2 linked regions of the Nothobranchius furzeri genome follow. The protein of the gene in region 2 interacts with the protein of the main gene of each other region in a biochemical or structural test. Links are inferred from orthologs where the notes say so. Each region holds a gene or a part of one and is shown on either strand. Other genes may lie near its edges. The genes, in order: pard6b and prkcz.

What was found.
Region 1: the proteins of prkcz (region 2) and pard6b form a complex in vitro, tested with the Homo sapiens proteins (2 studies listed by BioGRID). The link is inferred for Nothobranchius furzeri from reciprocal best matches to the Homo sapiens genes PRKCZ and PARD6B.

Annotation. Positions count from the first base shown.
Region 1 is NC_091755.1:48,086,565-48,098,774, reverse strand, and holds the end of pard6b (partitioning defective 6 homolog beta), read left to right. Parts: intron 1-4,263; exon of another isoform or gene 4,264-4,380; coding exon of another isoform or gene 4,381-4,642; intron 4,643-5,537; coding exon 5,538-6,454; 3' UTR 6,455-6,592; downstream 6,593-12,210. Other genes in the region: arfgef2 (brefeldin A-inhibited guanine nucleotide-exchange protein 2), read left to right, coding at 10,156-10,318. UniProt on the Homo sapiens protein: Adapter protein involved in asymmetrical cell division and cell polarization processes. Probably involved in formation of epithelial tight junctions.
Region 2 is NC_091755.1:44,874,731-44,887,581, reverse strand, and holds the start of prkcz (protein kinase C zeta type), read right to left. Parts: upstream 8,275-12,851; 5' UTR 8,055-8,274; coding exon 7,978-8,054; intron 1-7,977. UniProt on the Homo sapiens protein: Calcium- and diacylglycerol-independent serine/threonine-protein kinase that functions in phosphatidylinositol 3-kinase (PI3K) pathway and mitogen-activated protein (MAP) kinase cascade, and is involved in NF-kappa-B activation, mitogenic signaling, cell proliferation, cell polarity, inflammatory response and maintenance of long-term potentiation (LTP).

The sequences.
Region 1 (12,210 bases), about 3.2 Mb from region 2:
AGCTGGAGACTTCCTGGCCCTGCTGAAGCTGGGGTGTCGTGTCAGCTTCCTGGTGGGATATAATGGATTAGCAGTAATATTGCTGGAGATAATTATGCTGCAAAGAAAGTGTCTCATTATCCCGTATGGATCTTGTGATCCAGTGTGCACCAGCGGGGAAGTGGATACTCAAGACGTGCGTGTAATGGGAGTATTGGAGTGAGTGTACGCGTGAATGCATCACTGGAGAAGGGGATTATATTCTCCCCCTCAGTAGATACACTCATGTATAATGTTGTTAGATAGATTTTAATCTGTCTGGTAAAAATGATGTTATTTGATGCTCGTGAGAACCATCGATGGCTCCTTCTACCTTATAACTGGTGAAGCGGAAATGATGCGTCCAGAGCTTGTCTGGAAAACCCATGTGTGCCATCCTTCTTGGTCGGACTTGTTCAAGCATCAGGAAGGAGTTGAGTTAGTTGTTGATCCTGTTTGTGCTAGCGTATCGGTTACGTCCTGCAGAGATGAGAGGTTAAGTATCACCGCGTGCGTCCTTATTAAGCTTTCATTTTCTCCCCCTCTGCTTTGCTTCCTAACTCCATTCAAAGTGTGGGAAACCAAAGCAGCCACTGCATAACTGGAATTTCTAACCGGCTGATTACGTTCTCTGTGTGGGTTGGGGGGGGGGACCGATTCGGCTAACGCCGCAGCTCGATGCTAAGGTGACTTATTTGAGATGGAGAGAAACAAAGCAGGCTAACTGGGTCGTTTTCCTTTCATTGATTAGAAATGAAGTTATGCGTTTAAGTTTGAGATCTCATGCAGATTAAAGCAAAACCAAAAACCGTTCAGGACAAAATATCCTGGAAGCAAATGAAGCTTTATTTTTATTTTTCATTACTTTTAATGCAGAGACTTTTGGAATAGAGACCAAGAACCTGATCTGGCATTGTTTTTGTTTCTCATTTAAGGTCTTTTCATTGAAAGAATCTGGAAGTTTCCAAGTGGCATCGGTAATGAAGTTCAGTTACTGTAGCGTCCTCTCCTAACAAGCATTCAGTTTCATTTAAAAGCAATCCGGACGCAGTAATGATGCTTTTCTACATTTATAACCCATAGCTGTAATTAGGTGGTTGGGATGCATTTTGTACCAACATATTTAATAACTGACCAGTGGAGGGTTTAACTGTCCAGAAGCTAAGCTGGTAACACGGAGGCTAACTACTGGGTTATTATGAGACTCTGTAAACATATTTAAAACGTAAAGCTTAAAGAGCAAGTCACCCCCTACCAGATTGATGGTAAATGGCAAATGGCCTGAATTTGATGTAGCATCTTCTAGAGTCCTGGAACCCCTCAAGGCACTTTACAACACAATCAGTCATTCACCCATTCACACACACTGGTGGGGATGAGCTACCATGTAGCCACAGCTGCCCTGGGGCGCACTGACAGAGGCGAGGCTGCCGAGCACTGGCGCCACCGGTCCCTCCGACCACCACCAGCAGGCAACGTGGGTTAAGCGTCTTGGTCAAGGATACAACGACAGCGACAGACTTGAGTGGGGCTTGAACCTGCAACCTTCCGATTATGAGGCGAGCACTTAACTCCTGTGCCACCGTCACCCCAGATTCTAACTCCACTCCCACTTCCTGTTAAGCGCCTCGTGATTTTTATCTTGAGAGGCGCTATAGAAATGATTCTTTCTTCTTCTTCTTCTGTTTGAAAAAGGCAACAAATGCTGTTGCCTAGCAGACCGAGAGGGCGGAGCCGGTAACAAATACACACACAGGCTCTTAACGACATTGTGACATCATATGGTACCAGCTAACGTTCTAGGGTGCCTCTTAGCCAATAGCGATGGCAGATTTAAATTCAAATGCAGTGCAGAGTTTTTACCTGACAACGACACAACTCTGACAGTTTTAGGCAGAAAAAAGTGCAAAACTATTGACGACACGTGTCTGCAGCACGATTACACACATTTATATAGTTTATCAGAAAAAAAATGTTGATTTGGGGGTGACTTGCTCTTTAAATTATCGAGCACACCGGCAAATGTGTCTTCATCACACCTGCTTATGAAATTACTACGAAGTTGTGATTAAGGAACATTTAGTCTTTTTTCACGTGTTTTCTCAGGCTTGCCTCCATTAATCATTAGCTAAACACATACCTGTGCACTCTGTGGGTACAGCACGTCACAGACGAGCTGTGAAATGTTTACCAAGCGCTGCGTTACTAAAAGCAACGTTCTGTATGTCCTGCCTTTACTCAACCACACACAGCACCCTCAGAATAACCTCCGAGTCAGAGATGTGGTGGAAAGTTTGTTTTCATGCTGTAATCATCAGAACAGGGCCTTGTTCGGGTTAGGGGTCCTCTTTGATTCTAATGATTGATTAAATCAACCGTGCCCGTTCAGCTCATGTGGACAGAAGTAAGTTGGGTACTGGGTTAGGTTCTGATCCTGGATAAAGCCCCAAGCAGACAACACAAGTCAAACGTCCAAGTCCCATTCTCCAGTCTCCGTTTCCAGAATACAGGAGGATGCTGGGTGCAGCTGATGCTGTTAAACAAACACAAACGTGATGCTATCTCAACATTTACACCTGTTGTCGGTGCCCTTTCTGCCCTAGTTCCTAACGTAAGGCACCTACGTGACCGCTGTGGACCCTCCAGACTTCTGACAGACTTCTGTGCCGGTCAGGAGTGTTCTGGACTCTGACCCCACTGAGCGTTAAAGAGACAGAAGCCGCTGAGACCTAGATCAGAGATCCAGTGGGTAGCACTGGACTTATTCTACTGAAACCCCCTCATCTACTTCTGCTCAGGCAACAGCTTAGTAAGCTAGCACACCTAGCTACCACAGATCTGGCCAAACTTCCTGTCCAGCTTCTCTGAGCCAAAAAAGCGTTATTCATGCACATGGAGAGGTGTCAGCTGAGGAGGAGGGATGGTGAGAGGGCAGCTTGATGGACGGATCACGATCCAATCATGAATATCGGGACGTTCACCGTGATTGGATGAGGTTTTTCCAGGATCATACGTTTCAGATGCGATTAAAATTATTCCTTATTTTTTTAAATAACAACAGTTTATTGGTTTCCATTGGTATGTGAAGAGTAGTTGAAGCAAAATGTCCAAAATGCTCCAGAATAATATCTCTTGCTTAAATGCTTGCCTTCTTTATGCAAATAAACGATCACGCATGCCGCTGGAGCCGCTTGGTTTCTTGTTTCTGCTCCGTGTGAGCGCCACCGAGTAGCCCCGAGGGACCGTCATGTCCTATGACGTAAAAGATGTAAAAGAGTGAAACGAGACTGGGAACATCACCTTCTCACGTGCATGACTGCCTCCTGTGTACGCGCGTATCTGTGTGTGTGTGTGTGTGTGTGTGTGTGTGTGCGTGTGCGCGCTTTGTTGATTCTGTTACTACAACACACACAGAAGGAGACTTCCTGGTCCCCTGCGGAGCTGTTGCAGCTGCATGCCTTCACTGGGAGGACAGCTCGTGTGTTCAGGGCCGACACCGTTATCGTGAGCCTCAGTACACCAAACTTGTGCCTCACGGGAACTGAAATGTGAGACCGCCGCTCTTTCCCGGGACAATCGATCCTTTGTTTTGGTTTTGGAATGAGGTGGGGAGTGGTGCAGCACGTACCTGTCAGGACCTGACCGCTAGGATCCTCATCAGCCACCTGAGCAGATACCCAGATAGCTCACACTGAAGCAAGCTCATTCTAAAATGACGAAAGTGAGTGTTTCATTTAGAGACCACTTTCATCTGAAAACAGATTCATCCCAGTGTTATAAATAGGAAAAACGGTCTAAAAGGTGAGCGCTTTGATGTCTCTTTCACAGCGATACCGAGCCAAAAAAAGTCACAGATGTTAATGTTTACCGCCGTGTTTTATGCTGGTTAACTATTAGGAATCCAAGGTTCAGTTTGTGAGTTGGCCATGACCGAACACACCTCCTTATCAAAGACAGATATCGTTTTTTTAACTCGCCCAACAGAAAGTTTCTTCATTTGTTTGATCCAGTTCAAATTACAGATGTAAAGCATGCAGCTTATTTTGACTGTAAGACGCTGGGAAACGACGCGTTTGGCTCTTTCGGGTCTAGCTGAGACCGCTCGCGCCGCACCAAACCTCACGAATCAAAACAATAACTCTTCACCAGTGTGTTGCCTCATAAAGCTCAGTTCCACGAAGCCGCCGCACGGCCGTAAAAACACAACTCATCATTTTACGCTCGCAGTTTGAGCCGAAGGTGAAGTACAGGAAGCTTTTATTTATTCAGCTGGCGCTCCTGTTTCAGGGGGCAGAAGTTTGTAGGAGGAGTGTGGGGGTTGGGTTAATCACATGAGTCTTACTCATTAGTTCATTCACTGACATGTTTTTACTGTGTGGGCGTCGGACGAGCCCCCGCATCGTGAGAACAAACATCTCAGCTCTAAAGCCGATCTTCATCTGCATACGTCACACGTCACGTGATCAGGAAGCAGAACGTCCATGTGTTAGGAGATCGTTTTGGGTCGCTGCTGTAAAAAAAAGTGAGGCGCGAACCGGAAAAGCTTCTGCCGATCACAATTCAACAACGGATTATGAAAGAACGGATAACGCTCGAAACGCGCGGATTCTTCCTGATGTAAGAGGTGAGTCTCCGCTGTTTTGGTTGTGTTGGCGTCAACATCATCCTAGCGCGCAACATTCTGCGAGTCTTAATAAAACAGTAAAAACGGAGAGAAACGCTGGCAGCGAATGAGTTGTTATTCATAATATGCCAACGTCTCGCTTCTGATTGGCTACCAGCAGCAAGACTCTTCCGCTGCTTTCGTTTGTGATTTTATTGATGTTTTCTCTCCAAAAACAAAACAAGCCAGAATACCGGGGGTGCTAACGGTTAGCTTCTACTAGCTGAGACACGCTCTGCTCTCCTCTTGCTGTGGGCGGTCCTAAGCCCAGGTGGGCGGGGTCAGTGAGTACTAACTTCCTCTGTGACTGGCTCTGCTGCTAATGCAGGCGATGGGGGTTGAAGATGATGTTCACGTGTGAAACTAACGGTGAAGGTCACACTGTTTCTATGGAAACAAGGCCTTTAAAGCGGCAGTGTTTAAACACTAAAGCACACTTGCAAGTGTGAGGTCAGATGGTTCGGCCCATCTGTGCCACCAGTCATATGCCTCTTAAATAAATAACACAGCATGTGCTCTAAACACCATATGTCGGGTTGTTTTGGGTTGGAACGGGCCTGAAAGTCCTGATTTTGGTGCTGAGCGACTTGTTGGCTGGTGCAGCTTTTGCATCAGGCTGACCAGAGGATAGCTGCAAGGATCAACATCTTCTCTGTTCTTCTGCAACGCCTGAAGCCGAAAACGTTATTCCTGCTTCCAAACGTTCGTGATGCAACCGACCGTCAGCCTGAACAACCGTTTCATGTGCTGCCAGCTGATTACTAGAAAATTAACCAGTTTTGTTTCCCTCTCCCTCCTTTGGTCTGAAACTTTCCCCCATCTTCCCCTTCCCCTTCTTCCTTTTCCTGTTTTGCAGAGGAAGCTGACTACGCGGCGTTTGGCACAGACTCTCTGACCAGGAAGAAGAACACGGTTCTTTCAGCGGTTCTTCTTCGGCCCGACGCCAACAAGAAAAAGCCGCCGGTGATCATCAGCCTCCCGAAAGACTTCCGGCCCGTGTCTTCCATCATCGATGTGGACATCCTTCCAGAGACGCACCGCCGCGTTCGTCTGTACAAGCACGGCCAGGAAAAGCCGTTGGGGTTTTACATTCGCGATGGCTCGAGCGTGCGGGTCACCCCACAGGGCCTGGAGAAGGTCCCGGGGATCTTCATCTCACGCCTGGTGCCCGGCGGCTTGGCCGAGAGCACCGGCCTTCTGGCTGTTAACGACGAGGTTCTGGAAGTGAACGGCATCGAGGTGGCTGGGAAGTCTCTGGACCAGGTGACGGACATGATGATCGCTAACAGCCACAATCTCATCATCACCGTGAAGCCTGCCAATCAGCGAAACAACGTCGTTCGCTGTGGAGGAGGAGGGGGCGCTGCCTCTGGCAGTTCAGGTCGCTCGTCAGACAGCGGCGCCAGCTACTACGGCTACTCGGCGCACGGCGCCGTGGCTTCGATGCCAACGCACATCATCCAGAACTTTAGCGCCGGGGAACTGGAGAGCGACGAAGACGAGGACCTGGTGATTGAAGCGGGAGGCGAGGCTGAAGCCATCCGGCACGCTCCCTCTGACTACAGCATCCCTTCGGTGCCTCGCTACGAACCACACCTCAACCTCCGCTCCCACTTCAGCTCCGCCTACTCCATCAACGCCAACGGGACGCTGCATGGCAGTGGCAGCAGCGGGTCACCGAATAACATTAATGCTAATTCGGCCTCGCCGTCCCCAGACAGAGCAAAGGAGAGGCGGAGCCTGGAGGAGGATGGCACCGTTATTACGCTGTAGACCCAAACCGGAGAACAGAAAGAGACACCTCCACATGCTTCAGGAGGTGGTGGCAGAGTCACGGAGCAACATTTCAAACCTGTACCTGTACTCTTGAAACACATTTTAATGTAAACGTCCGCAAAAGTTCGTACATTCTAGTAACGTCCACATTCAACACTAATGCTTCTCTACATGCCAAGCTAGTGTGCCATAGTGCTGACCCACAGGCACACCAACGTCTTCAGCGTGGATCTAGTTTTAACCTTTTAACGGCGTGTTGAAGAGGTCCATGAGGAACATCAGTCACCTATCTGCTTGGTGGTTCCTACGGGGTAATGCCAAAGCAGTTGACCAAATCCTGACAAACGCGTTTTTAAGCGTTGGCTTGTGTTTCCTGGCCAGAAGACGTTTAACCACTGCTCATATTCGTTTTCCACTTTGTTTTTACATCGCTGTGATCAACGACGGACCGAAGAAGCCTGCGTTTTTAATCTTTGTGTCTTTTTTTTTTCTTCTCAGACCAAGTTCAAGTAGAGAAACGTTCCAAATTCACACCTGGATGGCCTCTTAAGCCATATCTCACTACCTGCTGGGGACAAAAGCAGTTTCCAAAATGCCTCAAAATCTTCACGAGGTCCTTTCAGTCGCGGGGCGGCGCTTCTCTGTTGCTTTTTGAACAAATTTACTTTCCATATGGTCTCCAGCTTGTCTGGAGCTACCCTCGGTTTAGTTTTCATCAGTCAGTAAGTACGAAACGATTTGGGGAGGTATTAAGCTCCTGGGACCGTTTTTTAATCTCGCCCTGCTGTTTGGGATGAGCAGAGCCTCGTGAACGTGGAGAAAAATATATTTATACATAACTTTAGTCCTTTAAGACGGCGTCCCTACCTGTGGACGCCGGTTCTCGGGGGTTTAGGACACTTTGTGGCTAAATTGCAGAATAAAATAAAAACTGTTTTTGGCTTTGCACAAGCGTCATGCACCCTTGTGACCCGGCCTTTATTTTATGCCTCCAACCGAAACTCGCAGCCCTTTGAGATAAAAACCTGTTTGTTTGTTTTGTTGTTGTTGTTGTTGCACTCCATAACACAACGTGGACCGTTTCCTGATGTACATTTGGGGATAAAGGAAGGTGACGTTGAACCTGAGCTTCCTCCTCGTTTTCGTCTGATCCAGACCCCGCCGAGTACGCCCCAGGACGCTTCCACGTTTCGTCTTTAAATCCATCAGCTGAAAGCCGTTTAAACATTTCAGTTTTACTTCGGTGAGTCCGTTTTTATTTGTATGAAGTGTCGATGATTATTCGTTATTACAGCCGCAGAGGCTGGTCGGTAATCCAAACATGACCTGGTTGGAAACAAAAACACGCTCGGCGGCGTTGGATGCAAGCAAATTAGTGTATTTGCTGAAGGTGAAGCTGATCTTTGTGTACCTGCGGATCATGTACTGTTGAAGTTGCTGCAGCAGCTTGGATATGATGATGTTCAAAGCAAAGAAGCCTTCAGAATTCGTTTGATCAGTTATTGTTCCCCCAAACGGCTCACGAACGTCTTTAGAATGAATCTAGTTTTGAAGCGGCAGGAAAAACTCCTCTGATCATGAAACGGATCGGTTACATTTATGGGAAGCGTCCGTTTCCGTTGCACGCTGCAGCAAACCGCCTCTGTGGAGTGAGAGCAGGTGGTCTATCGTGTCTACTATTGATTTTTTAAGCATTCGCTCTCCTGCTAAAGTGCTACGCCTTGCTTTAGCATTGATTTCTATCTTGCATATTAAAGTAAAATCAGCACACAGCCACTTTCAGGCTTCATGTGAGTCCGTGTGCACTCGTGGAGACACTTTTAGGATCATTATCATGCTAATTAGCCTCATTAGTAGCTCTGTTTATCCTCTGATGAACTTCTACGTTAGTGACTGGAATAAACATGGCTGCCTGCACAGGTACTGCCTTTGTCGGTGGAGCGCCAAGCTCAGTCGTTCCTAACTTTTCAGCCACGAATCACAACTCTTGAGTTGAAGTTTGGTTTTTCTACTTGTTGATAATTTATTGCCGGTGTCTCTGACTTCACCACAGGACACCGGGATTGTAACCACACCGACATTTTAATTTATTCTGTAATCCTGATAAATGTTCTTTCTTTTTCACGTTCTGATGTTTTTACATGTTCACACTTATTGTTTCCAGCATCAAAGTGGCGGTACGGTAGATATTTTACTGTCGGTTGTGGATCATTTCAGTTTCTGGTTTTAAATATCAAAAAGGAGATTAAATAAAAAGCTATTTTCTTCATACTGTGAATTATGATTTTGTGTGGCAGTGAAACGGTTCTGTTAGCAACCTGAAATGTTTCACTTGTCGGGTTTTGTAGGCAACAGGGCGATGATTTTTGCTGCCAGATAAATTCTCTACTATAGATTTGTAATGAAGAACGTCAGTATTTTCATATCGATGCTTTCTAAATATGCGATGTGCGTTTTTATCATTTGAAGGAGACTGTTTTATGATTGAAGTGGAGATTTAAGAATACATGTAAACCTGTAACTGGTGATCGGCAGAGCTGGATAAAATAAACTAAATATGTAGCAATGAGAACTGTTTGGTGTTTTTTAATGTGTGGAAACAAACGTGCAGAGTTTGCTTTAATCGACACAGGAAATCAGCAGGGTGTGTGTCGTCTGATCTGAATCTGAGCTATTCAACAGCTCGCCATTTTCTAATTGTTCGGATAAGCTAATAAATGCTAAGATTTGTCTAAAATGTGAAATACAATATGGTCAGTTTTACTGTGGGCTAATTATATATTACTGATATTTATTACTCATAATACTTAGAAGATGGATTTTAAAATAAGTTTGGTGCATTTTCAGTAAAGAAAAATTATCACGTCCTACTGATATTGTTCTTATATGTCTGTTAAAGGATCAGAGGATGTTAATGATCGTTATCACGAACAATGAACAAGTACACGTTTTAATTATGAAATTAATTACTTTTCTCATTCTTGTCAAAAAGAAATAGATTTGATTGATAACCAAAATAATTTTTCTGAATAATTTTTCTTGTGGCGCTTAAACATCTCTACTGGAAAAACAACCCTCACTATGTCTACTTTATGGAGAAATGCTAGAATAGTAAATTTTATTCTAAAAAGTAACTTAAATAACAAGACTATTCATTCGACCACAAATTAATCATCATCTTACTTGTAGAAAAAATTATTTACAATTTCACAAAATGTTAATTATGATTAATCGATTAATCAACTGTACATACAGACGCAGGGCGACCAGCTGTGTTGATAGTTTATTTAGCCGTAATGTGTTGCTGCCACCTGGTGGACACGTGGTGAACTACCATTCTTTTGTGCGCCGCTTAGATCATTAAAAGTTCAAAGCGCCTCTGAACAAGAACACTAAAATGATTTAAGTTACATTCGGAACATATTTCTAACACATTATAAAACCAATAAATTATATGCGGCCCTTTTTGGGAAGACACGTTTCAACAACTGCTTCTGTTGTCACGCCGCTAGCCTGGAGTGACAGCTGAGAATCACGTGACGTGACGTGTAACCAACATGGTGGCGCTGAGCTGAGACCGAAACGGACACCGACCGACCCGACACCCTGGCTTTCGTTAGCTTTCATCGTTACCTGCTCTTTGGCAGGGCCAGGCCGGTGATGACGGCCTGAGAGAGGATCGGTTACACGATCGAGAGATGCAGGAACAGCCACACGCGCCGCCGCAGCAGCACGCGCAGTCAGAAAACAGTAAAACCAAGAGCATGTTTCTGTCCAGGGCGCTGGAGAAAATCCTCGCTGATAAGGAGGTGAAGAGGAGCCAGAACAGCCAGCTGCGGAAAGCCTGTCAGGTGGCGCTCGGTACGTGACTCGTGTTGTTTTCTGAGCAGCTCGCCTGTTTTACGTCTTTATTCATTCCAACGTTTTATTTATGCTTAGCTTGATGGAGAGGAGCTACTTAATTAGCTTTAGCACCTTTAGCCTTTACCGTCTGCTCCTCTGCCCGTTGGCACCCTGACAGCGGGTGAATAATTATGAGTTAACACGGCTCTCGTACTTTATTATAAACATTTGTTCGTGTATTAAATTGTCACCACTGTCAGGTTATTCAAGGTTACTGGTAAAGATATTGTTAGCATGTTGCGGCTAGTTTAGCTAAACAGACCAATCCTGGTGTTGTACGTAGCACTGTCACCCAGCCAGACAGTCCAGTCCTGCATCTGTTGGCAGACCGTTTTAACATATAATCACACCTCTCAGAACTCCTCATTTGCGTCTGTCAGTAATGGCATTCCTTCTTGTCTAAACTACTTCCTTATCAAGAAAATTAAAGATATACAGAGTCGCATTCCTACTTGTGATCATACTTTCTTCAAGGTTCCTGAACAACTTTGAAAACCTCAGTTTAACATATCGGTTTAACATCCTTTACATGTTTTTAATGACCTTTGTTTATTTTAATGTGAATTTCAGTTAATTTAATCAATTGGAGTCAGAAATTGTGATCCGGATGTCCAGAAGTGCTTCTAATAAAATCATCGCTCGTTACTTCAGAGATCTAAAGCGTCCTTTTCCTCAGGATAAACTAAAATGTTATTTTTGTCTAGGATTTCTAGGACGACTAAATTGATTGTAGATATCTAAAATATGAGATACTTTCTATAGTAAGCATGCTTCTTTATCTATTTAACATAGCAGCAATGTTAATTCTATAGTTTAAATGTTTTAACTAATATCTGAAGCCCATCACAGAAAACTTCAAAACAAATTGGTGTGGTGTGGTTTTGCAGACATGATTAATGGAAACCAGACTGTTATATGATTAATCAGCCTGCCATATAAACACACAAGGTATTTCACTTCCTGCTTTTCCATTCAAACACACACGGGTAACGTTACACACGTCCAACTGTGCTGTTTGACCTGCGCTTGTACTTCAGACCAACCTGCTACCTCTTTGTTTGTCTGAACTATAAATCCTTCTTAACGTTTTAATACCGATGACTGCACGATAAAGGTGTGTTTCTGTAAAATAAACCAACAATACAATATAAAGGCTGATTTTTAACGATGAGGATTCAGTTAGATGCACTAAATCTTTGAGATTTAGGACCGTTTCAGGTCTCGTTTGCTCTCCCCTGGCTTTCAGTTACACTCAAATTATTCATGAAACAAGTAAAACGCGACACTCCCTTCATTAACTTCCTCTTATAATCAGTGTGCAGGTTTTTGTCTGCTTCGGCAAAATTTCAATAACACAGAAGCGTTTAAACGTTTGAAATCTTAAGTTATATTTCAGTTATTCATGTAAAAGTCATCAGATCTTCTGGGTTTTACAAGTTGGCGAGAGTTTCCAGCACTAGACAAAAGAGATATTTATAAGTGTTTTATTAATTAAGAGTAGCCTTATTTTGAGTGTGTTTGTATGCATATCTTTGGTTTAGGCATGCAGCCGCGTTGGGAATTATGTGTTTAGTATTAATTTATGTGTTTAATACATTTTCAATTCATTCTGCTTCCATGTTTGGTTTTGTGACTTCAAACCATGATACTGCCACCCCTGGTTTATAAATAAGATGCGCTTCCTCTAAAGCACATCCTGAGCTCCTTCAAAGGAATCTCCTACCATCTTTATGCAGATGACATCCAACTGTACATCTCCTTTAAGCCCCATGAGATGTCTAAGCTGCAGCTGTTACACACCTGCTTAGACTCTATCAAAACCTGGATGGTGGGAGCTTTCTTCAGCTGAA
Region 2 (12,851 bases):
AACGATCCTCCTCTTTCCTTACGTAGCGTTGACAGTCTGGACACTTTTAAAACAGCTGAAGACCCTTTGATTTAAGGCTGCAGTTACTTAAATATGTAGTTTCTTATTTTTCACTCTAATTTGTAAACATCTTTCATTTGTTTTATGGTATTTTATTATTTTATGACTTTCATTTCCTGATGTTAGTCTTTCCATTTTGAGATCATTGTTTTATTTGTTTTGATCTTGGTGATTCTATGTTATAAGTTTTGTATAAATAAAATTTACTCACCATCTATTTCAAACATTAAAACCCCACTTTAAATAGGGGCGGGGCTTAGATTTCACCTTTCCGGTACCTAAAATGCAGCTTTGAATCTGATCCCTAAGCAGCTTCAGTCTAGGTCACACCTTCCTGTGTCTAATCAACACAACGATTCATCAGGGGATGGAGAGGAGGGGTACTCGGAGTAGTTTCTGCTCGTTAACAACAGACAGCTACAGCTTATAGCTTGACTCGCCCATGTTCCAGTCTGAACTGACAAAGCTCCTCGGATGAGAACCTTTTGGATGTCCACTAGAGGGAGCCCATGAGCAGGTAGAGGTGTGTGCACCACAGGTTCAGAAACACAGAATTGGACTTTTCTGGCTCCAGACTCTGGACAGACTGACTTTGCCCTCGTTTGAATACTGAAGCTGTAAAACACTCGACACGAGGTAAAATCAAAGGTCATGAGGTGTTTATTATCAGAGCTTCTTTTCTATCAGCTCTGGCCTTCACACACCTTATCAGCTGAAGGCCGCCTTAAAGATGAGCGTGAACGCTGACTTCCTGTCCTGGAGGTTCTGCTGGAGACACAGGTCTGTGGGCAGAGTGTGTTCACACCCAACAGCCCTGCTGCTCTGAACCCTAACCCAACATAGAGCCAGCTGTGTGTGTGTGTGTGTGTGTGTGTGTGTGTGTGTGTGTGTGTGTGTGTGTGTGTGTGTGTGTGTGTGTGTGTGTGTGTGTGTGTGTGTGTGTGTGTGTGCGCGTGTGTGCATGTGTGTGTGTGTGAGCGTGTGTGCATGTGTGCGTGTGTGTGTGTGTGCATGTGTGAGCATGTGCGAGCATGTGCATGAGTGAGCGTGTGCATGTGTGTGCATGTGCGTGTGCGTGCGCATGTGTGAGCATGTGCATGAGTGTGTGTGTGTGTGTGCATGTGTGAGCATGTGCATGAGTGAGCGTGTGCATGTGTGTGTGTGTGTGTGCATGTGTGAGCATGTGCATGAGTGAGCGTGTGTGTGTGTTAGCATGTGCATGAGTGAGCGTGTGCATGTGTGTGTGTGTGTGTGTGTGCATGTGTGAGCATGTGCGAGCATGTGCATGAGTGAGCGTGTGCATGTGTGTGTGTGTGTGTGTGTGTGTGTGTGTGTGTGTGTGTGTGTGTGTGTGTGTGTGCGTGTGTGAGCATGTGCATGAGTGAGCGTGTGCATGTGCGTGTGTGTGCATGTGTGAGCGTGTACATGTGTGAGCATGTGCGTGTGTGTGTGTGCGTGCGCATGTGTGAGCATGTGCGTGTGTGTGTGCGTGCGCATGTGTGAGCATGTGCGTGTGTGTGCGTGCGCATGTGTGAGCATGTGCGAGCATGTGCATGAGTGAGCGTGTGCATGTGTGTGTGTGTGTGTGTGCATGTGCATGTGTGAGCGTGTATGTGTGTGAGCGTGTACATGTGTGAGCATGTGCGTGTGTGTGTGCGTGCGCATGTGTGAGCATGTGCATGAGTGAGCGTGTGCATGTGTGTGTGTGTGCATGAGTGAGCGTGTATGTGTGAGCGTGTACATGTGTGAGCATGTGCGTGTGTGTGTGCGTGCGCATGTGTGAGCATGTGCATGAGTGAGCGTGTGCATGTGTGTGTGTGTGCATGTGTGAGCGTGTACATGTGTGAGCATGTGCGTGTGTGTGTGCGTGCGCATGTGTGAGCGTGTGCATGTGTGTGTGCATGTGTCAGCATGTGCATGAGTGAGCGTGTGTGTGTGTGAGCGTGTACATGTGTGAGCGTGTGAATGAGTGAATGTGTGTGTGAGCGTGTGCATGTGTGAGCATGTGCGTGTGTGCGTGCGCATGTGTGAGCATGTGCATGAGTGAGTGTGTGCATGTGTGTGTGTGTGTGTGTGTGTGTGTGTGTGTGCATGTGTGAGCATGTGCATGAGTGAGCGTGTGCATGTGAGTGTGTGTGCATGAGTGAGTGTGTGCATGTGTGTGTGTGTGTGCATGTGTGAGCATGTGCATGAGTGAGCGTGTGCATGTGTGTGTGTGTGCATGTGTGAGCATGTGCATGAGTGAGCGTGTGCGTGCATGTGTGAGCATGTGCATGAGTGAGCGTGTGCATGTGTGTGTGTGTGTGTGTGTGTGTGCATGTGTGAGCGTGTGTGTGTGTGAGCGTGTACATGTGTGTGTGTGTAAGACGGCGTCTGCCAGGTTTGTCAGGTTAAAGGTAAACCTCAGCTGGACTGGAGGTGAAGCAGACAGGCTTCCTCAGTAGGAACTACAGCACCCGTCTACACCCACACACCTGAGTGTGGAACTACAACACACACAAACACACTCAGGTGTGTGAACTGGAGCTTGAATATTACATAATTGGGACAAAGCTAACTTCACCGAGGTGTAATAATGTGGATCTACTGTCAACGACAGCAGGAAGTTTACACGGCTAGCTTCCCACTGCAGCTCCACATGCCACCCAGACTGGTTCATTATTGAAGCCTAAATTACGCCCAGGTGTGGTCCTAAATCAGACCCACACCTGTTTCATTTAACTCAGTGGTAAACATCTACACTCCCCTAGAGCATTACCAGGACCACCACACTAATACGGTGTTTGACCCCCTTTCTCCCTCAGAACGGCCTTAATTCTACGTGGCGTTGATCCAACAAGGTGCTGAAAGCATCTTTAGAAATGTCGGCCATATTGATAGGACAGCATCTTGCAGCTGATGGAGATGTGTGGGATGCACATCCAGGGCACGAAGCTCCCGGTCCACCACATCCCAAAGATGCTCTATCGGGGTGAGATCTAGTGACCGTGGGGGTCGCTGTAGTAGTGAACTCATCGTCATGTACAAGAAACTAGTTAGAAATGACTGGAGCTTCATGACCTGCTGGAAGTAGCCATCAGAGGACGGGTACATGGTGGTCATGAAGGGATGGACATGGTCAGAAACAATGCTCAGGAAGCCCGTGGCATTTAAACCATGCCCAGTTGGCACTAAGGGGCCTAAAGTGTGTCAAGAAACCATCCCCCACACCATGACACCTCCACCACCAGCCTGCACAGTGGTAACAAGGCATGATGGATCCATGTTCTCGTTCTGTTTACGCCAAATTCTGACTCGACCATCTGAATGTCTCAACAGAAACGGAGACTCATCAGAGCAGGCAACATTTTCCAGTCTTCAACTGTCCAGTTTTGGTGAGCTGGTGCTAATTGTAGCCTCTTGTTCCTGTTTGTAGTGGAGATGAGTGGTGCTGTAGTCCATCCGCCTCAAGGTTGTGCGTGTTGTGGCTTCACAAATGCTTTGCTGCGTTCCTCGGTTGTAACGAGGGTTAGGGTCTTCTATCAGCTTGAATCAGTCGGCCCATTCACCTCTGACCTCTGGCATCAACAAGACATTTTCCCCTCAGGACTGCCGCATACTGGGACAAAACACGGATCACAAACACAGAACAATAACGTTTAAAAGATGGATCACAGAAGCAGTTGAAACAAGGAGGCGTGGACCCAGGACCATGAACAGGGACTAAGGAGTCTACACGCTGGACCAATCATGGGACATGGTGATCAGCGGAGGGGGCGCGGCCAGCAAGGGACGACACCTGAAGGACAAGGGACACACCTTTGAAGAGGACAAAGTAAACATGGACAGAGAAGATAGATGGTGTGAGAGGAGTAAAAGAAGCTAGCCATGTCAAACGTGAAAAACCCACTTTAAATAGGGGCGGGGCTTAGATTTCACCTGCCCAGTACCTATAATGCAGCTTTGAGTCTCATTCCTGAGCAGCTTCAGTCTAGCTTGCACCTTCCTGTGTCTGATCAACACAACGACTCATCAGGCGATGGAGAGGAGGGGTACTCGCAGTAGTTTCTGCTCGTTAAACAACAACAGACAGCTACAGCCATGAGCTTGACTCTCCCATATTCCAGTCTGAACCGGCAAAGCTCCTCGGGTGAGAAGACAAACGTCTTCATGAAACCAAAGAAGTCCAGCTGCCTTCATCTGAACCCGTTTGGATTTTCTTTGACACGGTAGAAACTTTCATTCTTATTGTTTTTCACCATCTATGAACACATAAATCACACAGTCATCAGATTTATAAACTTCTGTTATTCCAAGTTAAGGCAAGTGTGAAAATTTATCTATTTTACACATAATTATGTTTTATACATCAACACATGCTGAACTGATCTGGCCTAGAGTCTGGCTCTAGCTCCTCCTGCGCGCACACACACACATGCACACACACACACACACACACACACATGCACACACACACAGTAGAAGAAATGAGCTGCTAAACCATAAAGAGGATCAGGATTTTCCACAGAAACAATGCTTCTGTGTCTGACTGATGAATTTTCTAATAAATGTAACAAACTGATTATCCTGCTGCTGGTTTGTGTTCAGAAGCAGGAACCACCTCGTAACCACCTCCTGGTGTTTCTGCACCAGGTTCACTTCACGGTCTGGAAGCAGAGCTGCCAACAGGATTTCTACATGCTTTACCATCAGGTGAAATCTAAGCCCTCCGCCACTATTTAAAGCCCCAGTGTGTAATATTTTACCTGTTTACTATAAATCCTGTTTCCAGTTCACCAACTTCTCCTTTTTAATTAACATTTCTCACCAACATCAAGTCTAAATATTCCTCTCAGCTGTAAAGTTTACGTTTTAAATACATAAACTGTGGTCGACGCTCCGTGGTCATCCACCATCTTGAAATACAGTAGCTGTTGAGGGACATACGAGCTCCGGTTTGTGTGTTTGGACTATGACTGTAACCTGAAAGAACCAGCAGAGGGCAGCAGTGCACCCTGGAAGCCTGGAGTCTCTCTTCCTGCAGCCTGCCGTCTCCCCAACACGCTCCAGCGCTCGTCTGCTAGCCAGTGGCTAAATCAGCGTCGTTTATGTGATCTCCACAAACACGTTACTAACGGCGACGTGGTTCTCCACGCGTCACAGAGATGACGTGCTTCTCCAAGGGCTTCTTCTCAAACGTTAACTTGGACGCGGGTCTCCTTCGGCTGGTGGTCCGTGTTCACAGCACACAGTGCCTCCCCGGCTCGCCAGCCGTGGCTCACGCCAGTATCTGGTGACTAAAAGTCAGCATTGTTTGCTTGATCTCCAGTGTCCTCCCGGCTCGCTAACCCTCCTTCACCAGCCATGGCGCTGCCAGTGATCGCTCCATAAAAGATCGTTTTCTTTCTTTCTTTTTCCAGATCCGTTGGCTGGGAGCAAGCTTGTTTACGAAGCTGCTCTCATCCACGTGAAACAGGTGTTGTGGGAATTTATGTTCCCCTGAAATACTCTGTTTCCTTTAGGCAGTAGAGAGCAAATATTTCTGGATTGACAGAAGTTTTGTCCATTATGAGGACTAAACTCCCCTGAATTAAAGATGGTTAACCTGAGTGAGATTACATCCTTTTACATAATTAACGATAAATAATAGTGAACAAGGATGTTTTTACTGTACCTTCTTTATTGGTTTCAGGAGGACACATCAGGAGCCTAAGTCACCTCTGCATCACGGGTCCCGGAAGAACAAAAACATGAAGTTAAGTCAACGGGGCTACAGAGCCATTTTCTAGCCCTGGATCACACGTGTTGGACTGCTGTTTACATGAAAAGTAATGACGTGTTTCCACCACGCCAGTCACGTACTTTGAGATTTATCAGCTTGTAAAAGTTTGTGATTAGCATGACTACGCACCAGAAATCAGCACGTCACATATATGATGTCACCATATAAGCTCCTCCCCCTAGCGTAGCTGCTACTCACCACATGACCAGATTTATGGTGGTTCTTTCCTCCTGTGGGAAGTTTGCTGAACTTACAGCCATTTCCCCTCAGTTTCCTCTATGTCTGGTTCGATGACATCACTCTGGTGAAGCGCATTTGTAGTCCTGGACTTATTTTCACACAACACCTAAAATAGTGTTTACCCGTTAGAAAATAAGCGCGTTCTCGGTATCAAAATGTTCTTTAACATTCACGGACATCATATGTGAAATCCATGTCACAAAACAAGCGGAATGAGAAAACAGCGTTTTTAGCCCCGTTGACATTTATTCGTTCTTCCGGGGACCCGTGGTCCGGAAGTGACTTAGGCTCCCAATGGATGTAAAAACATCACAAACATGACATTATTACATGACATCATTTTCCAATTAAAGTCGATCACAAATGTTGTGAAGGTAGCCTGAAGTGTGACCTCCCGACGGCAGAATATTTCAGGGGAACACAATTTCTCACAACACCTGACCTCCCGGCTGACGTCACCCCTCCTCCCTGTGTGAATGGTGACAGCTTCCAGATCTAGCAGAACTAGCTTGCTTCCTTCAGCACTGGTAGGTTGATAACAGTCATAACTATAAATGCTGTGTACTGCTGGTGCAGTTATAACTTATAACTACACCAGCAGTACACAGCATTATCTAAGCATTATAAGCTCTGTGTGGGTTAGGCTAGAGAGGCTGGAGACCGGTGAGTAGGCCTCCGCAGCTGCAATACTCTCTCTGAGCTGCACGGCGCTGAAGATCGTGACTTGAATTTATCTACCCAAACATGAAAAACCCACTTTAAATAGGGGCGGGGTCTTAGATTTCACCACACGTCAACGTGTGTGTGTGTGTGTGCGTGCGTGCGTGCGTGCGTGCGTGCGTGCGTGCGTGTGTGTGTGTGTCCTACAGGGAAAAAGCAGTGATGGGAATTCTCAGACCTGAGGGATGTTTTGTTTACCTGCATCCTGACTACAGCAGTACATTAAATCACTCACACACACACACACACACACACACACACACACACACACACACACACACACACACACACACACACACACACACACACACACACACAGTCGTTTTGCATTAAATTCTAGCTTCATTGAGAGCTTGACATTTAATCTGAGCCCAAATGCTTCAAATCACTAAGTTTGTATTTATTTTTCTGCTCTAAAGTGTTTCTGCTGCCCAACACAAAGATTCCACTTCATTTGCATGTATTTGTTTAAAAAGGCCCTTCTGCGACCGGCGCGGACGCCCAAGGTGCTGAACACAACACAAATAAAAAATAAAAGCATCAAATCAAATGTAACTATGGTGAAACCAACATAGGACAGTTAAAAGTAAAAACAGAGCATAAAATACAGCAAACCAATAAGAGGCCGGGCAACAAAACCATTTTTAAAATGCTAATCCTGGAAAGCCTTGACAGAAAAGTGGGTCTTCAGGCGAGCCTTAAAAACCATCAGAAGGTGACGAACACACCACCAAAGGTGGTCCACCAACCAACCAACCAACCAGCCTTCATCCAAGAGCTTCCACAGCCATGTATGTTATTGGAAAAAAGGTTATTCATGCCTTTGCTTTCTAGTATGTTGAACTCATTGTAAAACCCTACATGACCTTTAGGTTATGAGCAACCTTTAAATAAGGGCCTATAAACGCTCCAGTGGTGACAAACTGTCACTATTTTATCTTACAAGACAAAAGTCCATGTTTGTCTTATTCAGGCAGCCTTTAAACGTTTTCCTAACAAGTATTTTCCTCCTCTACACCTTGGGAGAGAGGCAGTTGAAGGCAGGTCTCAGACCAGACCTGGTCTATGGATGACCAGGGTACAAACTGATCCAGAACACCATCCTGGAAGCCTCCATTCCACAGGTGTCTCCCCGTCCCCTCCATCCGGATAAATCCTGCCAGACACCTGCTTACACCTCTCGCGGACTCACTTACCCTCCATAATGTGCCTTCACTTTGACCCAGCCCGAGTCCAGGTCCATGATGGTTCCGTTTGACGCTAGCATATGCATGGTTCGGTTGGGTTAAACTGGCCCAACGGAACAGGTCCAAAGTTTGTGGCCCAGAACTTGCTGTCACGCCTCGGAACTAAAAGTTCTTACATAACGAGGTCCGGGCCTGGGTTTACTCCAGCGTCTTTGAAGAAAGGTAGAAGAGCTTCGGAGAAGTTTCTATCGTTTGGGAAACATTTAATGCTTCGATGACGAAGACGTTAGCAAGTTAGCTTGAGTGGCGGTAAAAGTTCCGGAAGTTGGATTTCAAATTAAAAGAAATACTGCGTCATTTGGATTGTAACTTGTGTTTCAACAGAAGGAAATGATTTTATTTTGAAAACAAGTGTCTCACTTGTGAAGTCGTCTGTAATTTAACTTGACAGATTCGTTCCGCCTCACTATGGTTACGGTAATCTAAATTCACCTGTCCCGCTGCTACCGTCGACGTCCTCGCGGCGGAGAAAGTCGCGTATTCATATCGGGATGGTGCAGATTCGTTCTGGTTGATGTACGGAAAGATTTATCAGCGTACTTTGTGTCTTCTTCCTTATTCTGGGATCTGGGTAGTCTGACAAGCCAGACTAAATACATTTATAATTTAACATTTGCAAAGGAAGTATTTGGTCTAGTTCACTACGCTAGGATCTGTGAGCTCCTATCAGTGAACACGTTATTCTGAAAAATAAAACAGTAAATATTTATAAAAGCTTTTTATTTTCTTTAAATAACTTGCAGCCGTAACTAAGACACAAAAATCTGCCTAAACAGAATTTCGTTCAACACGGAAATAGTCATTAAGCGCCACCTGCTGGCTGATTTGTGGCACCGATTTTAGAAAAGTTTAATTTTAGTTTATGAATTTAAACGAATAATTTCATTATTCGTTTCATAACTGTAAATTTGTCAGTGTTTATCATTGTTAGACATGTACTGTGATAAAAGGCTTTACAATCCATTTCTAAACTCAATAACTCTAAACCACATAGTTTTAATTTCATTGTTTTCATTTTTATATCTTAGTGTTTTTATATTTTTTGTAATGTGTTGATCTTGTTTTATTTTTCCCATGGCTGTAAAGTGTCCTTGGGTGTCAAGAAATGCGCTTTTAAATAAAATGAACTATTATTATTATAAATGTTTGTGTTTAGTTTTATGTAAAACAAAATAAAATACATTTAAAATATGACACACAAACCATTTGCTGACACAAAAAATCAGTAAACTTGAACTTAAAAATTCTGCCAGAAACATCAAAAATTTAAATTTATGGAAACTGAAATAATCTAAACCTGATGTTTGTTTTTGCCCTCGGGTTAAATGTTTATACAACTGAACAGATGTTTGTTTTTTTGTTTGTTCTAGTATTTTATAGTGTGATTCACTAGTTATGATTTTAAATTAATATAAGCCTAATTGATTATAAAAATAATAATAGCCAATAATGATCATTTTTATCTCTCGGCTGTATCAAAATTTACATTTCCGCTACTTGAATGGATTCTTTGCTCCGTCTATAATCTGATTTTATTGGCACTTTTCTCTGTAACATGCATGATTTCTTTTCAGTACAGTTGCTAAACTTACACAGAATCATAGCTCTGAGCCATCTATTCCCTTAGCCCTCAGCAGCAATGACTTCATGGGATTTTTTACAAGTAAAATTAATTCTATTAGAAACTAAATCTTTTGCATCCTCCCTAATGCGACTTCTTCTTCCTCAGTAAGTGAGGCAGCATCAGAGGTAACTGTAGAACCTCATCTGTGCTTGAACCGTTTTGATCCAGTTGAGCTTTCAGAGTTATCAAAAATATTAGCTTCATCTAAACCTTCAACTTGCATTTTGGATCCAATCCCAACCAAATTATTTAAAGATGCATTTCCTTTGGTTACTGCCCCCATTCTAGATATAATCAATCTATCCTTAGTAAATGGGTATGGGTATGTACCACAGGATTTTAAGGTTGCTGTAATCAAACCTTCACTTAAGAAGCCTTCTCTGGATCCAGATGACCCAATGAATTATAGACCAATATCTAACCTTCCATTTTTATCCAAAGTCCTGGAGAAAATAGTGGCCATCCAAGTATGTGAGCATTTAAACACCAATGCTCTGTTTGAGGAATTTCAGTCTGGTTTTAGAGAGTATCACAGCACTGAAACTGCATTAGTGAGAGTTACAAATGATATTCTCATGGCCTCAGATAAGAATCTTGTGTCTGTTCTAGTCTTGTTAGATCTCAGTGCTGCCTTTGACACAGTTGATCACAATGTTCTTTTAGAAAGACTTGAACATGTTGTAGGGATCAAAGGAACAGCATTAGGCTGGTTTAAACCCTACCTGTCTGACAGATTTCATTTTGTAAATGTACATGACAAATCTTCTTCATACTCCAGGGTTACTTGCGGAGTACCACAGGGTTCAGTGCTTGGACCAATTCTTTTTACTATATATATGCTCCCAATTGGTAAAATCATTAGACAGCATGGGATAAACTTCCACTGTTATGCTGACGATACTCAGTTATATTTATCCATTAACCCTGATGAACCTAATCGGTTGGGTAGATTACAGGCTTGTCTTGAGGACATAAAAAATTGGATGACTCTAAACTTTTTGCTTTTAAATCAAGACAAGACGGAAGTTCTCATCTTTGGACCAGAAATCCAGAAAAGGAAATTGCTTAGCCAATCGCCTGACCTGAATGGCATTACATTAATCTCCGAGAACAAAGTAAGGAACCTTGGTGTTATCTTTGACCAGGACATGTCATTCAAATCCCAGGTTAAACAGGTTTGTAGGATTTCCTTTTTCCACCTTCGGAATATTGCTAAGATTAGAAGCATACTTTCCAGGAGTGATGCTGAAAAACTAGTTCATGCATTCATTACATCAAGACTGGATTACTGTAATTCATTACTCTCAGGAAGTCCACAGAATGTAGTTAAAAGTCTTCAGCTTGTCCAAAATGCTGCAGCTAGAGTTCTGATGAGAATTAAAAAGAGAGATCATATCTCTCCTGTCTTAGCTTCCCTACATTGGCTACCTGTTAAATTCAGAATAGATTTTAAGATCCTTCTTCTCACATATAAAGCTCTTAATAATCAAGCTCCATCATACATCAGTAATCTGATTGTTCCATATGTTCCTAACCGAGCACTTCGCTCTCAGACTGCAGGTCTACTGGTGGTTCCCAGAATATCTAAAATTAGGATGGGAGGCAGATCTTTTAGTTATCAGGCTCCTCTCCTGTGGAACCAGCTCCCAGCTTTAGTCCGTGAGGCAGACACCTTGTCTACTTTTAAGAATAGGCTTAAAACATTTTATTTGATAGGGCCTATGGTTAAAATCTGATGTTAGCCTAAATCTGGACAAGTGGGGGAGTAGAGGGAGGTGGAGTGTACAGTCGGTAAAGACGGCTCTCCCTTGCCCTGCCTCCAACATGCCTCCATCTAAATAGGATAGGTTATCCAGAGTTATCTCTGTAGTTATGCTGCTATAGGCTTAGACTGCTGGAGGACACACTGACCACTTTCCACACTCTACTGCTTTATTCTACAATCTGCTCTTTAACTGTATTATTTCCTGCTATTTCAGCTGTTAACTTTATTTTCTCTCTAAGTGTTTCTCTCCCCAGAAGAACCTACAATGATGTTCTGCTGAGCTGTGGTGGCCTCATGGAGGGGGCCATCGACTAGCACACTGATGCTAACCACTTAAACATTCTCCCTCTCCTGATAATAACTTTTTGCTTTCCTTGACGTTGGATGTGCTACTACTAGTTTACCCGTTTAATTATAGATCCACTAGGATAAATACAATAAAACTTTATCTCTCACCAAATAGAATATTTACTAAGACATCACAATTTAACTAGACACATTACTTTGTCTTTGTGTGCGTGTGTGTGTGTGTGTCTTCTCCATCCCCAGTGAGTCGTGGAGGATGGCTGCTTATACTGAGCCAGGATTCTCTGGAGGTTTCTTCCTTTTAAAAGGGAGTTTTCCTCTCCACTGTCGCTGCATGCTTGCTTAGTATGAGGATTGCTGTATAGTCACTGGTACTAGTCAGTGACTTGATGTAATTTGCTGGGTTCCTTATGTAGGAAACATTATTTCTGATTGGCTTAATGAACTGACCTGAATTGGAATGTTTATTATGTGAAGTGCCTTGAGACGACTCTTGTCGTGATTTGGCGCTTTATAAATAAACTTGAATTGAAATTGAATTACTAGGGACAGTGCATATTAATGAACTTCAGCAACAAATTGTATCAGTAAATATGCCAGATTGTAGCATCAGTGCTGACTTACGTCTGCAGTCCCTAAAAGTAGCAGAAAGCAAAGTTTTGTTTAAAACTAGGAAAACCAGAAAGGAAACGCGTCACTGTCAGGACAAACTACTGATGGACTCAGGTTTGGTTTTCCTTCAGCCGGAGTTTAAGTTGGAATGTGAAGGAATTCTCTTTCTTAGGCTGTTCCAATATTTTGTCCCATTAATGATAGTGCGGTGTGCCCGAAAGCAGTGTGCCTGTGAGGCCCCTCACAGTCTCCTCTAACTGTGGCCCTGGTGGACGTTCCACTTGTAGACGTGATTTAATCCAATCTGTCAGAGGGAGGAGCTCGTCCATGTAAACCTTAAAAACCAGGCAAGCATTCCTAAGATGAAGTCGTCGACATGTCTCTAAAACTGAGCAGTGGTGGAAACTAAACGATGTTACTGAGGACTTTTCATAAGAACCTCATGCTGCCTGTGACGTGCTTCAGTTGCTGCTCACTGGTGAATTCATCACTCATGATGAAGATAAACCATTAAGA